2 linked regions of the Caenorhabditis elegans genome follow. The protein of the gene in region 1 interacts with the protein of each later gene in a pairwise test. Each region holds a gene or a part of one and is shown on either strand. Other genes may lie near its edges. The genes, in order: sdz-38 and rga-1.

What was found.
Region 2: the proteins of sdz-38 (region 1) and rga-1 interact in a two-hybrid assay, tested with the Caenorhabditis elegans proteins (one large-scale study listed by BioGRID).

Annotation. Positions count from the first base shown.
Region 1 is NC_003280.10:9,979,864-9,985,061, reverse strand, and holds sdz-38 (C2H2-type domain-containing protein), read left to right. Parts: upstream 1-3,201; 5' UTR 3,202-3,266; intron 3,267-3,311; 5' UTR 3,312-3,314; coding exon 3,315-3,654; intron 3,655-3,781; coding exon 3,782-4,050; 3' UTR 4,051-4,176; downstream 4,177-5,198. Other genes in the region: ZK892.6 (uncharacterized protein), read left to right, coding at 4,986-5,072, 5,122-5,198.
Region 2 is NC_003280.10:11,462,132-11,469,747, forward strand, and holds rga-1 (Rho GTPase-activating protein 68F), read left to right. Parts: upstream 1-2,762; 5' UTR 2,763-2,765; coding exon 2,766-2,889; intron 2,890-2,945; coding exon 2,946-3,099; intron 3,100-3,161; coding exon 3,162-3,255; intron 3,256-3,313; coding exon 3,314-3,420; intron 3,421-3,473; coding exon 3,474-3,632; intron 3,633-3,694; coding exon 3,695-3,814; exon of another isoform or gene 3,815-3,864; coding exon of another isoform or gene 3,865-3,918; intron 3,919-3,962; coding exon of another isoform or gene 3,963-4,454; intron 4,455-4,499; coding exon of another isoform or gene 4,500-4,844; intron 4,845-4,893; coding exon of another isoform or gene 4,894-5,393; intron 5,394-5,449; coding exon of another isoform or gene 5,450-5,474; exon of another isoform or gene 5,475-5,494; intron 5,495-5,677; coding exon 5,678-5,826; intron 5,827-5,888; coding exon 5,889-6,041; intron 6,042-6,100; coding exon 6,101-6,375; 3' UTR 6,376-6,522; downstream 6,523-7,616. Other genes in the region: aars-1 (Alanine--tRNA ligase, mitochondrial), read right to left, coding at 267-648, 706-1,422, 1,476-1,766, 1,813-1,890; klp-17 (Kinesin motor domain-containing protein), read right to left, coding at 3,865-3,918, 3,963-4,454, 4,500-4,844, 4,894-5,393, 5,450-5,474; cisd-1 (CDGSH iron-sulfur domain-containing protein 2 homologue), read right to left, coding at 6,607-6,834, 6,890-6,978, 7,374-7,461.

The sequences.
Region 1 (5,198 bases):
TCCTTTTCGTCGTTTTCCTAGCAATAGTGCACTAGTGAAAGAATTCGGTTGGCACCATGCCAAAATGAAGAGAGTGTTTGTCAATAAAAGATTGAGAGAGAGAACGAGAGAGAGTTGTAGGGGGAGGAGCTTAGGAGAGTGTGACATTTCCGCGAAATTGATGGGAGGCGGCGGGAATTGGAAATGATGAGATTTAGGTGTTTCCGGTGACATTCGGTGTGCTTTTGGAGATTTAGGGTTAGAGATTCTGATCATTGATAAGTAAAAAAGGAATTCCATTTTTCCATTTTTCCATTTTTGAAATGTCTAGACGAATGGAGTATCTTGATGGATCTCGCCACAAAAAAAGACTACCGTATTTTCACTCGAGCACCCTTGTTTGCAATAATAAAAAATATTTGAAAGCTTATATCTCGGTTCTCTTTGGCTTTATCAAAAATATGTCCACTGACAGTACGTGTGCAAAATATTTGTTGTATTTTGGTTGTTTAAGGTTTTTTGAGAAAAGTTAAGACAACTGAGATTTAGACCAGGGCTGTTGCAAAAAAAAATTTTCGACCAAAAAACAAAAAACAAAAAATTTTTTGGTCGAACTTTGGACCAAAAAACAAAAAACAAAAAATCGAATTTTTCAAAAATACCAAAAAAAAACAAAAAAACAAAAAAACAAAAAACAAAAAAACAATTCAATGTTTGATTTTGAACGGGACAAAACGGAATTTTTCATAAAATATTAAAAATTGAACGAACAGAAGGTTTTTTGTTTAATTTTTTGCGGAATCAGTGCTGTAATTGATTTTTTGGTTTTTTTGGTTTTTTTGGCGTCAAAAAACCAAAAAAACCAAAAAATCAATTTTTCCCAAAAATACCAAAAAAATCAAAAAAACAAAAAACCAAAAAAAACAAAAAAAAAACAGCCCTGATTTAGACCATCAAAGTGGGGGGGGGGGCCTACTGGTAGAAATATGGTATATTAGCCTCCCATTTATAATGTATTTTTAACAAGAAATAATTTAAACATCAAAAGTAAAAAGAGCTACTTGTTGGCGTTTCGAGGTGAGACCCATTCAAATATATCTGTGCGTCTTTTAGTGTGAGTTTCAAAAACTAGGAAATTACGATATGACTGGATTTATAGGTTTGAAATTTTTTTTAAAAACTTTTTTTAAGACGTGAAGCACGCTTTGAAAACTGAAAGCTAACTGAAAACCTATACCTCCCAGTGTGAAAATTTATGTAAACCGAGAACGTGAGAAGCTGAAAAACAACTGGTAGCCCGGCTAACGCTTGTGGAACTCGAATTGCTAGCGGGTATACGAGAGGAAAAAAACGAAAAAGGATGAAAACGAGACGGTGTGTTGTTGTTGTTTTTGACACCGAATGTAGATAGTGGTTGAGTGAGTGAGTGGGAGAGAATCACGATAAAGAAATTTTAAAGAGAATAAAAAGAACGGGAGGTAGAGAGCATTAACAAAACAACAATAACAACTATCGAAATACAAGCGGCGTAATGGGAAAAAAACTGAAAATTAGTAGTCTTCGGTTGGGAGAGGATGTCGGGGGATAGGGAAAGATTGCGTGTTCCGGTTTTGGATGCAGAAAAAAAAACGAAAAATACGGAGCTATGAAAAAATAGCAACCAAAAACCAATTTAATTGACAGTCTCTTCAAAATTTTGAGATTTCATATTTTCATGTTTAGTCGTGAACTCATTCCCAATTGGAATTTAAATACAGAGTTTGTCTTTTGCTTTAATATGTAGAAAATGTAAACATTTTCACTGTGTAATAAAATTCATAATATTTTCAAACGATTATACCTACTGAAACAAAATTGAAAAAGCTGAATTAATTTTGGAATTCCGTTGCATTTGAATTTCCTAACTTGTTTCCGATTTAAAAGCTGCTAAAAGTTTAAACTTTTTTTAAATTTTTTCAAAATATGTTAGATACAAATTTCTTCTGGCTATCAATTTTTTTACAGACGAAAATATCTGAAAATTGGTAAATATTCGTTTCGAATCTTATTTTAGCGAAAAAATCAAGGCAGTCTGATGAATTATTTTAATTGAAATCATTGAAAGTTTTTAAATAATTTAAAATTTTTTTTCAGCTTTCAAGGTAAAGGCTATTGACACCTACAGTACACCAAAGTGATACTGAAACCAGAAAAAAAGACTTTAGAAGTTGTTGAGGTGCTTTCAGTTTTGGTTTCCTCTAATCTCACCAATAAAATCTTCCATCTCCTCCTATTTCTCTCATTTTACGATTTTGTTTGTCCTTCTTCTCTCTCTTTGGTTCCTTCCCATTTTGGTACTAGATACTTGAACAAGACAACGTAGAAAAAGAAGAAGAAGAAGAAGCACTCCACACAAATTAGATCCGCTTCTGTTGGTGTGAAGAAAATGTTGAAGAATAGGAAGAAGAACATGATTTTAATTTCAATGTAAATGGGTGTTGCCTTCCGTTTGCCCACGGAACAAACGGAGTAATTAAATTTTTTATTCAAATGAACAATTTACACATAATCGTCAAAGACGGATTTTCTTGAAAAAGGTCAACTAGATGGAAAAGTCTAGTTCGACAAGTTTCCAAAATTTCCCAAAAATCCCGATGTTAATAAAATTGCATATTGTGACTGATGATGTGGTGTTGAAATTCCTTTCCGAGGTGCTTTTTTCATAGGACCATTATAGTTGAGAATCGAAAAAAATAGAGAAATTCATCGAAAAATGGTGTAGCAATTGAAAAATTATACCAAACATTGGAATATTTCAATTAGAAAAGGTTTTTCATTTAGAAAAGGTAAAAGGAAATTTGGTTTTTAAATTCTGAAAGAACACAAAATTTGCAACAAAATGGCTGCAGGGATTTTTGAAAAAGCTAGTTTGAAGCCAGATATGAATTTTTAAAAATTGGGAAATCTATTAATTTTGCATATAAATGGTCGATTTTATTCAATCTCAATTTGTGCACTAAACGGTATGACTGAAAATTCACTTTTTCTGCTTGAACTCAGCGGATAGCAGACCACTGTTTATTGATTGGATGTTTATAGAGTCCAACCGCAATTTGATACATGAACGCAGTACTTGGTCGGGTGTAAACCTGGTGGAACGCCAGGTTGTCGATGGACTCCGCCTAGTTACCCATCATGACACGTTGTGTATGTAACGAAGACCACACATTCATTCACCACATTTTCCTCTAACCCAGTGTGCTCTTCATTCGGTCTGTATCGAAAGATTGTGTGTTTTCTTTAAAAATGTATATTTTTTCACGACTATTCTTCCTAAATCTCTTTTTTTTCAGAAAATGCCTCCATATTTTTCGCCTAAATCTGAAGCACCAATCTGCGGTTACTGTCAACTTACATTCAGTCAAACGGGCTCAATGACTCGCCATAGGGACAGACTTCACACCAAGAATCACACGTGTCTCATCTGCGTCTCAAACTGTGAAGGTGCTCCGATTCTGGGAGAAAGTATAAAGAAGCACTTGCAACATGCTCATGGATATGTAGATGTACAGTCGTGTAGTTGTTGCCATTGGATTTTTGAGAACAAAATTCAACTGAGAACTCATTTGGACGCAATGAAAGCAACTGGGCAGCCAGGAGACGAGGTGGTACTAGCCAAGGGTACATTTGCACCAGGTTAGTTGAAGCTTTAAAGTAGGCACAAGGATGCCTGGTAAAAAATAGAAAGACGATAGGCAGTTATGAAGACTTGAGTATTAATATCAAATTTATTCACTCTTAAATCTTAGTAAATTATTTTCAGGAACACTATCACAAGCAGCTATTCTCCAATCCAAAGCCTACTCTGCCAATCGACAGCAAAAATGTCAGCAATCACTGAAAGTTGACTCTGGAGGATTCAATGATTTATCGGAAACACAACTCAAATTCATTTTGGACAACTACTCACAGATTGTTGGAGAACTGGAATCTCCCAATCCTAAAATCAGTGGATGCAGAAAGCGAAAATGTGGAATGACAATCCAGCATGTCCTTCGAGACGACGATTTCAAGAAAATCGAATTGTGCTAGAATTTCATTTTATCATCATTTTAATAATTTTTTTGTGATCTATATTTAATTTTTTCTTTGAACAGTTTTTTTTTTAAATGTCGAACAGCGATATATTTTTAATCTCAATAAATTTTTCTTAAAAAATCGTTTTCCACTCTAAATCTTATCAGAATGATGTGCGCTTAATTCCCAAAGTGCATTTATTTTTAGATCCTGTGGAAAATATTTTTAAAAAATGATGTCCTGAACACAGAGACCCTTGATATCAGATTCTCGGGTCATTTTTCTAGTTTTGCTTCGAATTAACTTGTGATTTGAAATGTACAAATACAAATATTGTAACTAGAAATTATTTTAATTGGTTTTTTTTTTGAGAAATGAACAAAAATATTATCGAAAAAATACGATAGCAAATTTTTTAAAATTTATTTTTGATCTACCTTGTTGACTAGACTCCTCCCCTTCCTTCGACGACTCTAAAAATAATCATATTTTCCATCGATTTTTGCGTGTTTTGAAGATCTAGAAGAGTACATGCTCCCACGAGGGTCGTCTCTTTCTCATTGTGTCTGCGCACTCCATCGATTCATCTCTGTGCAGCTGCGCAACTGTTTGATCTACTTGCAATGCGGGAATTTCTGGACACAGATTTCTCATGTGATTTCGAAAGGTTAAGAGCGTGTTTTTTCCTTTTTTTTTGTCAGTTTCCACTGCCCAGAAATGCCTCGCCACAATTTTCCGTTATTGTGTGTCTGTAAGCACCGATAAAGGATGACATTTTTAATTCTATTTAATAGTTAAGAAACATAATTTACTCTAGGGAGAGCATAGTGAAAGTAACATATCAAATTTAAAAAAACAATAATCCAAAAAAGAAATTCAGAAACCATTGTTTTTAGGTCTACTATCTGATGGAGTCTTTTTCAAAGCATGTGGTTAGCCACGCTCCGATCATGTACGACTACACTTGCGAAGGCAGAACACCACGTCCCAACTTTGGTCTGTACAAGCCTCTGAAAAAGGGAAATTTTCCAAAAACCGTATGTTAAATAAAAACGAAATGATAACTTGATAAAATGAATATTACAGAATGACGGTATGCAACACGATTTGGTCAATGATGTCTTGGGAGGAAAATCGAGCAAATATTGCCCATTCATTCTACC
Region 2 (7,616 bases), 1.5 Mb from region 1:
GTAATTAATTTCAACATTTTATGAAGGTGATTTTTCGTTTTTTCGAAAGAAAGTGAGCGAAAAACAGACTGAAAAATCCATTAATTTTAATTTTTTCAAAAAATAAATGCACCCGAAATAATGAAAAATAAATTCTACTATAATTTTTTTTTCGAAATTATAATTTTTTTTCGGCAATTCAATTTCGATTTTCCGGTATTATTTTTGATTTTTCGAAGCTTTAACCGAGAATTTCCGCATTTTTTTAGACTTTTGCTCCAACTGACCATATTTTCCATTTCTAAACACGTACGAATATTTTTCTTTGTCTGAATGGCTCGGAAAATCGTCTGCTGAAATCGGCAATTTAAACTGCGAAGCTTTTTGTGACACTTTTTGAGCTTCCAACCGGCACCTCTCGAATTCCGTTTCATCGACTTCTCTTCCAATATTTCTTGCCAATTCCACAGTAACCGCCAATGGTAAACCATGAGTTTCGAATAAATTGAACGCTTTTCTTCCTGATATTATTGGTGATTTGGATTCAGCTGCAACACTATCAAACATCTTTTTAGCTTTGTCAACTGTCTTCCAGAATTGAGCTTCTTCATCGTTGAAGATCTTTCTGATGTGAGTGGATGTGTCGTGGATTTCTGGATAGACTTCTTTCTGAAAAATTATGAATTTAATTTCATGCGAAAAATGTTTGAGAAGCTTTAAGCTTACCATCGTTGAAGCAACAACTGGAACCAGCTCACTCATCGCGTATCTCTCAATTCCTAGTTTCGAAATTCCTTGCAAAAAAGCTCGTCGCATCATTTTTCTAACAATAAATCCACACCCAGTTCCATCAGGTACAGCTCCATCGCTGATCGCCACAGTCGCAGCACGAATGTGATCAGCGACGAGACGGAATGTGGCATCTTGTCGACTATCCAGACTTCCAGTGTATTGCTTTTTTGCCAGCTCGGAGGTCTTTTCTAGAATCGGTGTGAACACGTCAGTGTCAAAATTTGAAGTTTTGTTCTGGACAACTGATAGAAGACGTTCGAATCCCATTCCTGTGTCAATGTGGTTTTTTCCCAAATGTCGAATTTGACCACATGAATCTCTGACGCTGCTCATGAAGACAATATTCCAAATTTCTACAACTGAATCATCAATATTCACTAATCGAGAAGCATCTCTTCCGCCGATTCTATCATAATGAATCTCGGTGCAAGGACCACACGGACCAGCTGCACCCATCTCCCAAAAATTCTCAGCGACAAATGGAAGAATTCGATTTGACGATACTCCAATTCGTTTCCAAATTTCTCGACATTCACGGTCTTCCGGTAATCCGAGCTTCTCGATTCCACCGAAATAGGAAACATACAATCTATCTGCATTGATTCCTAGAATTTCCACCAAATATTCCCATGCATATCGACATGCTTCCTCCTGAAAGCAAATAAAATATTAGATATTCAGAGAGAAATGCGTCGTTAAACAACTTTTGAGAATGCATCATTGAACGACCAATTGCCCATCATTTCAAAAAATGTTTGATGATGTAAATCTTTTCCAACGTCATCGAGATCGTTATGTTTTCCTCCGGCTCTAATGCATTTTTGAATATTTGCAACTCTTCTAGATTCGGTTGATGATAGAATTAATGGCTTGAACTGATTCATTCCAGCATTTGTAAATAACAAGGTTCCATCGTTTTCGTCTGGAATTACAGATGAAGATCTGAGTATTTCGTGATTTTTCGATTTGAAAAATTCGTAGAAACTCTTGCGAAGCTGAAATAAACTATTAAAATGTTATTTCAACCGATTTAAAACTTACTTCCGAATGTGAATGATAGAATCCAAGTGAAATTGATTTCTGAATATTATTTTCCAATATTTTGGAGCCAATTCCCATCGCATTCCGGTTGAATACACGTTGAAAACGTTTTCAAAACGAAATAATTATTTAAGAGAAAATGTGCCGTAAATCTACACTGGCCTAGAACATGTTAGGCCATGGCCTAGAAAAGAAGCTGTTTTTTTTTGTTTTATTTTGTTTTAATTAAAAATTTAATTGTTTAATTCTCAAATATTTTTGATTCAATAGTAAACTGGTAATCCCCGTCGACCGTTTGCTGAATAAACACAAAATCCTCTCATTGAAATGACATTTTTGGCGAGCGCCGCGACCACTGGACACTATATTTGCGCTGTGTCGTGACCCCATATCAATTTCATTCATTCTCGCTCACAAAACAGCTGGCTAGACACAATAAATTCAACGAGAAAATATTCAGTGCTGATGGCAATCTGGGCTTTCTCTAAATCAATCCAAAAGAAAAAACGTCATCTTCCCTTGATACGAATCTCATAAAAACCGGCGCTGCTGTCAAATGGCGCGGCGGAGTGTTTCCTTCCTCTCCACTCTCTCTTTCTCTTTTTCAACATAAAAGCCGTTTGGTACATACTGCACTGTTCGTCCATTTCTTCCTCAATCTCCCTCGGTCTCTCCCCTCATAACCGTACCCTCTCTTCCGGTGTGTGTGTGTGTGTCTGCGTCTTGTTTTCCCTCACATCTCTCACCCAACACTTCTCACCTCACGCTGCAATCCATCTGACACATGTTTTCAAACATATTGATTGGTCATTATATATGCCTACTTATTATATGATATTTATTATACGAATCATTTTCTTAGAAACTTAAAATATTTCCAAATTCTCAAGTGTGTGTAGTCAATTACCTTGCCCCTGTCTTAATGAAAATTTCACTGTTAAGATTTTCAGCAAATGGACACGAAACATCCTCCGGATCCATCAGGTCCATCAGATCCCAACATAAATCTTGGAGAATTCGAAGATCCGGTGGATGGCTATGCCGATGATGACCTTCTCACACCGGATGACCTAAGCGGTAAGTGGAATAATAATTATTGATATTTAATTTAATAGAAAACTGGTTTATTTCAGTAAGTGTCACTGGAATGACGCCATCTCGATCGTTTCTGGAAACTGAAGAATTCGAGACAGAGCTTGGAGGTGTTGAACCGTTCGAAGATCTTTTCAACGACATATCAGCTCACGAAATTATTCAAGTAATTGCTGATGGGGATCGAGTTGGAAGGTAAATTAATTTGAATCCAAAAATTAATTATCTTTTTTGTTTTAATGAATCATAGTTTGCAGGCCAATTGTTGTCGTATATGCTTATCGGCTCCCATCAAGCAAGGAAATAGATCATGCCAGACTTCTACAGTATTTGGTACAAATTATTGATAAGGTTGGGAATTTTTAATAAATATAATATTTTGATAAAAATAAAATTTGCAATTTTCCAGATCGTTGACCAAGACTACACAATTGTCTATTTTCACTATGGCCTACGAAGTCACAACAAACCACCGGTACGGTGGCTGTTCCAGGCTTACAAACAACTTGATCGTAGGTAAGTATTTGAATTCAATTCATCTCTTCTCTTTCAAAAAAACCGGTTTCCAGATTCAAAAAGAACCTGAAAGCGCTCTACGTAGTGCATCCAACACGATTCATCCGCATTATCTTCTCGCTGTTCAAAGGTTTCATATCGAGCAAGTTTGAGAACAAGTTCCACTATGTCATGTGTATAGACGAGCTGGAGAACGCACTTTCAGTGGCAAGGTTCGTTTTTTCTTTTCTTATTTTTTAATTTTTTAAATTGTTATAAAAAAGATTATTTTCAGATTAAATCTTCCAAGTCCAATTCGAGATCATGATAAATCATTTTCAACTCAATCAAATCGACCTGAAACACCACCAGCTCAACCTCTGCCAACACAACAGTTTGGAGTTCCTCTCGAGTTGTAAGTCTTTATTCAATACAGTTCAAAAATGTCTAAAAACTAAAAAGAGTTCATAGTTTTTGTCCTGTTTGAACAACTGCTTTTCCCAAATTTGTTGAACGAAGCTGAAATTTAAAAGATATGTCAGAAAAAAAATATGCACAAATACCTCGGAAGTGAATTCCAATGTCCGTTTGGTTTCGGCAACATCACGAGGATTCGCATGAGCAATGAACATTGTTTTCGACGATCCTGCACCCAAATACTCGCGAAGCACCATTGTGAGCTTACTGTCACGATATGGAACATGCGACATCTTCGTCATTTGAGCTCGGATGCATTTTTTCAAAGTGCTCAAGCTCTGGTTGATGTTTGTGAGCTCGGTGAACTGCTTCCCACGAGCTTGCGTCTCCTTCGCCCGTTCGGAACCAGCCAAGTCCACCAAGTTGAGACAGCATTGAACCATCTCACCAGAGGCGTTTTGCCCATCAACGAAGATTTGGAAAATTGCATGAGATCTAGATGAATGCTCATTAGATGCTGTTGAAGCTACGGATCTTTGCGAATCGGCAAGATTCAGAATCACATCAACGTCGGAGATGTTTCCTATTTCGATTTTCTTCAGTCCAACTACATTCGTCTTCGATCCATTTATCTTTACCTGCAAAATATTGAAAATACAGATAATAAGATGAGATTATCTAACCTCCAACTTCTGCTTCCCATCCAACAAATCATAGACTTCTTCGTTATAAACTTCAATGAAGGATGCTTGGAATTTGTAGTTCCAACCAATCATCGCAAGATCTCTCTTTGATTGCTCCAGCATAAATCGAATAGCACGTGGAATGACTCCTTCCGAATCAGCACTATCTTCTCCTCGCATCGTGAAAGTCTTTCCACTTCCAGTTGGTCCGTAGGCGATGAGACACACATTTTTTCCATGAAGCGCACACATGATCAACTCCTTGATCTCACCGAAAACTCCGGATTGGGCGGTCGGAGGAAAGAAGACGTGCTCGAAACTGTAGGTGTTGGATTGGCCGGTGGTCTGAAAATATGTGCTTTAAACTTGAAGTATTAAAATCAAAAATTCGTACCTGCTGGAGTTGAACCTCATTTTGTGAGATGATGCTAAAGTTGGAAGATCCATCTCTCTCAAAATCTCTAACACGGATTGCCACGCGAATTTGGCCACGAAGATCAACAACTTCATCGTTGAGTTCACGAATGATGGCGTCCTTTTCAGCCATTTGGGTTTTAAAACAGTTGATAAGCTTCAGCTTTTCACGTTTCAAAGTTCGATTCTCCTGAATCAGCCTGTCATTTTCCATGTCTTTCTCCTTATTGTCATCTTCCAACTGCCGAAGTTTCAACTTAAGATCCGCCAATTCATTTCTCAAAGTCTTCACTTTTTGATCTTCAACTCTGGATACATCAGCGCAAGATGCTGACGGGAAAAGTGCCGATTCACGTCGTAGCACCTTATTCTGATTCTTTGCTTTATGCAATTGATTCTCGAGTTTTGGAATTGTGGCGGTTTTTCTCTCCAATTGCGCGATTTGATGTTTTAAATCATTAGTATGATTGTTATAAAAGTCTGAAATTATTATATATATATATAAACTAAAAATATTAAAAAATATAACAACTCACCATTTTTTATACGAACACCGTCCATTTGATTCGAACACCGACCAGTGAAAGATTCGGAAATAAATTCTAAATTCTAAACTCTAAGAAAATTCTTTTTTTTTTATTTAGAATTTTTTTTTTCCAATAAATTTCCCACGTTTTCCCAGAAATGTCATTCAAACGTGATTTTTATAAACTAAATTAATTAAATAAATAAATTAATTAATATTAAGATAAACAAATTTTCAGCATCCTGTCTCACTGTGGTGGAAACATCCCTCCAATCGTTGACCAGCTCATCGAGTATCTGGAAGCTCACGCGTTGACAATGGAAGGAGTTTTCAGGAAAAGTGCTAATATTGGAAGTATAAAGAGGCTACAGGATAGAATTAATAAAGGTATTTAATAGGCTAGGAAATTGAATTTTGATTTTGATTTTAATTTTAAATATTTGTTTCAGGCGAAAAAATTGATTTCGAAAATGATCCAGAGTACAAGGACAACGAATACGTGGCTTCCCTGCATGCTTCTGTACTTTTGAAGACGTTCTTCAGGAGCCTCGGAGAGCCCCTAACGACCAATAGGCTTTATCCGAAACTTGCGGCTCTTTCAGGTGAGAAAATATTTAAAGTCAATTGAAAACAGTGTTTATTTAATATCTGAATCTTTCAGAAGTATCGAAAACCGAGAAAAGCGCCGCCGTGAAAGAATTTGTGAAGCTTCTGCCTCGTGAAAACTACATTCTTCTGAAAACAGTCATCAAATTCCTAACTCGAGTCGCCGAAAACAGCAAAGTGAATCTGATGACTGCAAACAATTTGAGTGTCGTTTTCGGTCCAAATTTGACGTGGCCAACGGATCAAGAAGTGCCGATTTCTCAATTGAATAACCTCAATAACTTCTGCTATAAATTAATTGTGGATTATGATTCAGTATTTGATCATTGATCATTAGGGTGTTCAGCTTTTGCATTTTCCCCCGTTTTTCTGTACTTTTTTGCCTTACTGTAATTTATTTATTGCATCCATATTAAATAAAATTCAAAACACTTGTCATTTATACTAAAAATTAATTCACTGTATCCGTACTAAATCATATAAAACCGATGGTTTTCGACGATCACAAGAACATTTAGAAGTCAATAGATAATGAAGATCAATGATTTGTCGAGACGACGTTTACTTCTTTTCGGATTTGACGATGAGTGGGCCAACATTGTCGCCAGTCTCCTTGTTGTGCTTTCCATGTGATCCGTCACAGTATGGCCACTTCTCGCTCTTCCAGCATCTGCAGAATGCCTTCTTCTCTCCAATATCCTCAATATCGACGGTGTCGACGATCTTATTCGAGTCGAGCTGGATCTTGTAGTTGCAGCGAGCCGAACGCTGTCCGAACTTGTAACCAACCTGAAATTAATTAGTGAAATTGAAGAGGCTACATCAGGGGAAGGCTTGAACTTACAAGGTATCCAATAAGAGCTCCTCCCGCGAGAACGGCGGCAGTCGTGGCGACACAGCGACCAGAGACTTGAGTTGGGCAAGGCATGGTACCTGGAAAATTTAATTTAACAAAAAAAATTTAAGGAATAAGATTCAAGCGAAAAAAAATATATACGATTTATCATAAGGTAGATGCAAAATTTGGCGATTTTCGCATAAAAGTACAGTATCGGGTCTCGAAACGACCGCTTTGCTTTATTGGGAAAGAGTATGCGTCTTTAAGGAGTACTGTATCAATTTTCATAACTTTTTCAGAAGTGCTATCTTTTAAAATTTATGAGAGAATTCGCGAGTTGACAACTACAGTACTCTTTAAAGGCGCACACTCTTTCTATTGGAAAACCAGTCGCTTTGAGACCAGATACGTAACCTTTGACCAAAAAATCGGAAAATTGTGAATCTGTGTAATAAGAGGCAGTTCAATCAACAAATTATGCCAAAATTACCAAGCTCTGCAACAGAACAATGCTGTGGCGTTGTCCAACAACAGTGATCTTGAATGAGAGATAAAGCACAAAATCCAGCGATGGTCATTTTTCGAAGAAAATTGTAAAATATGTAGAAATAAATTTAAAAACCTTTTTTCGTAATCTATCGATTGATCTTTTTGATTAAAAAATTTGGACGTGAGAAGAAGAAAAATAACTTTTTTTCAAAGGTCAAATCGAAAAGAAAATCGATTTTTGTGA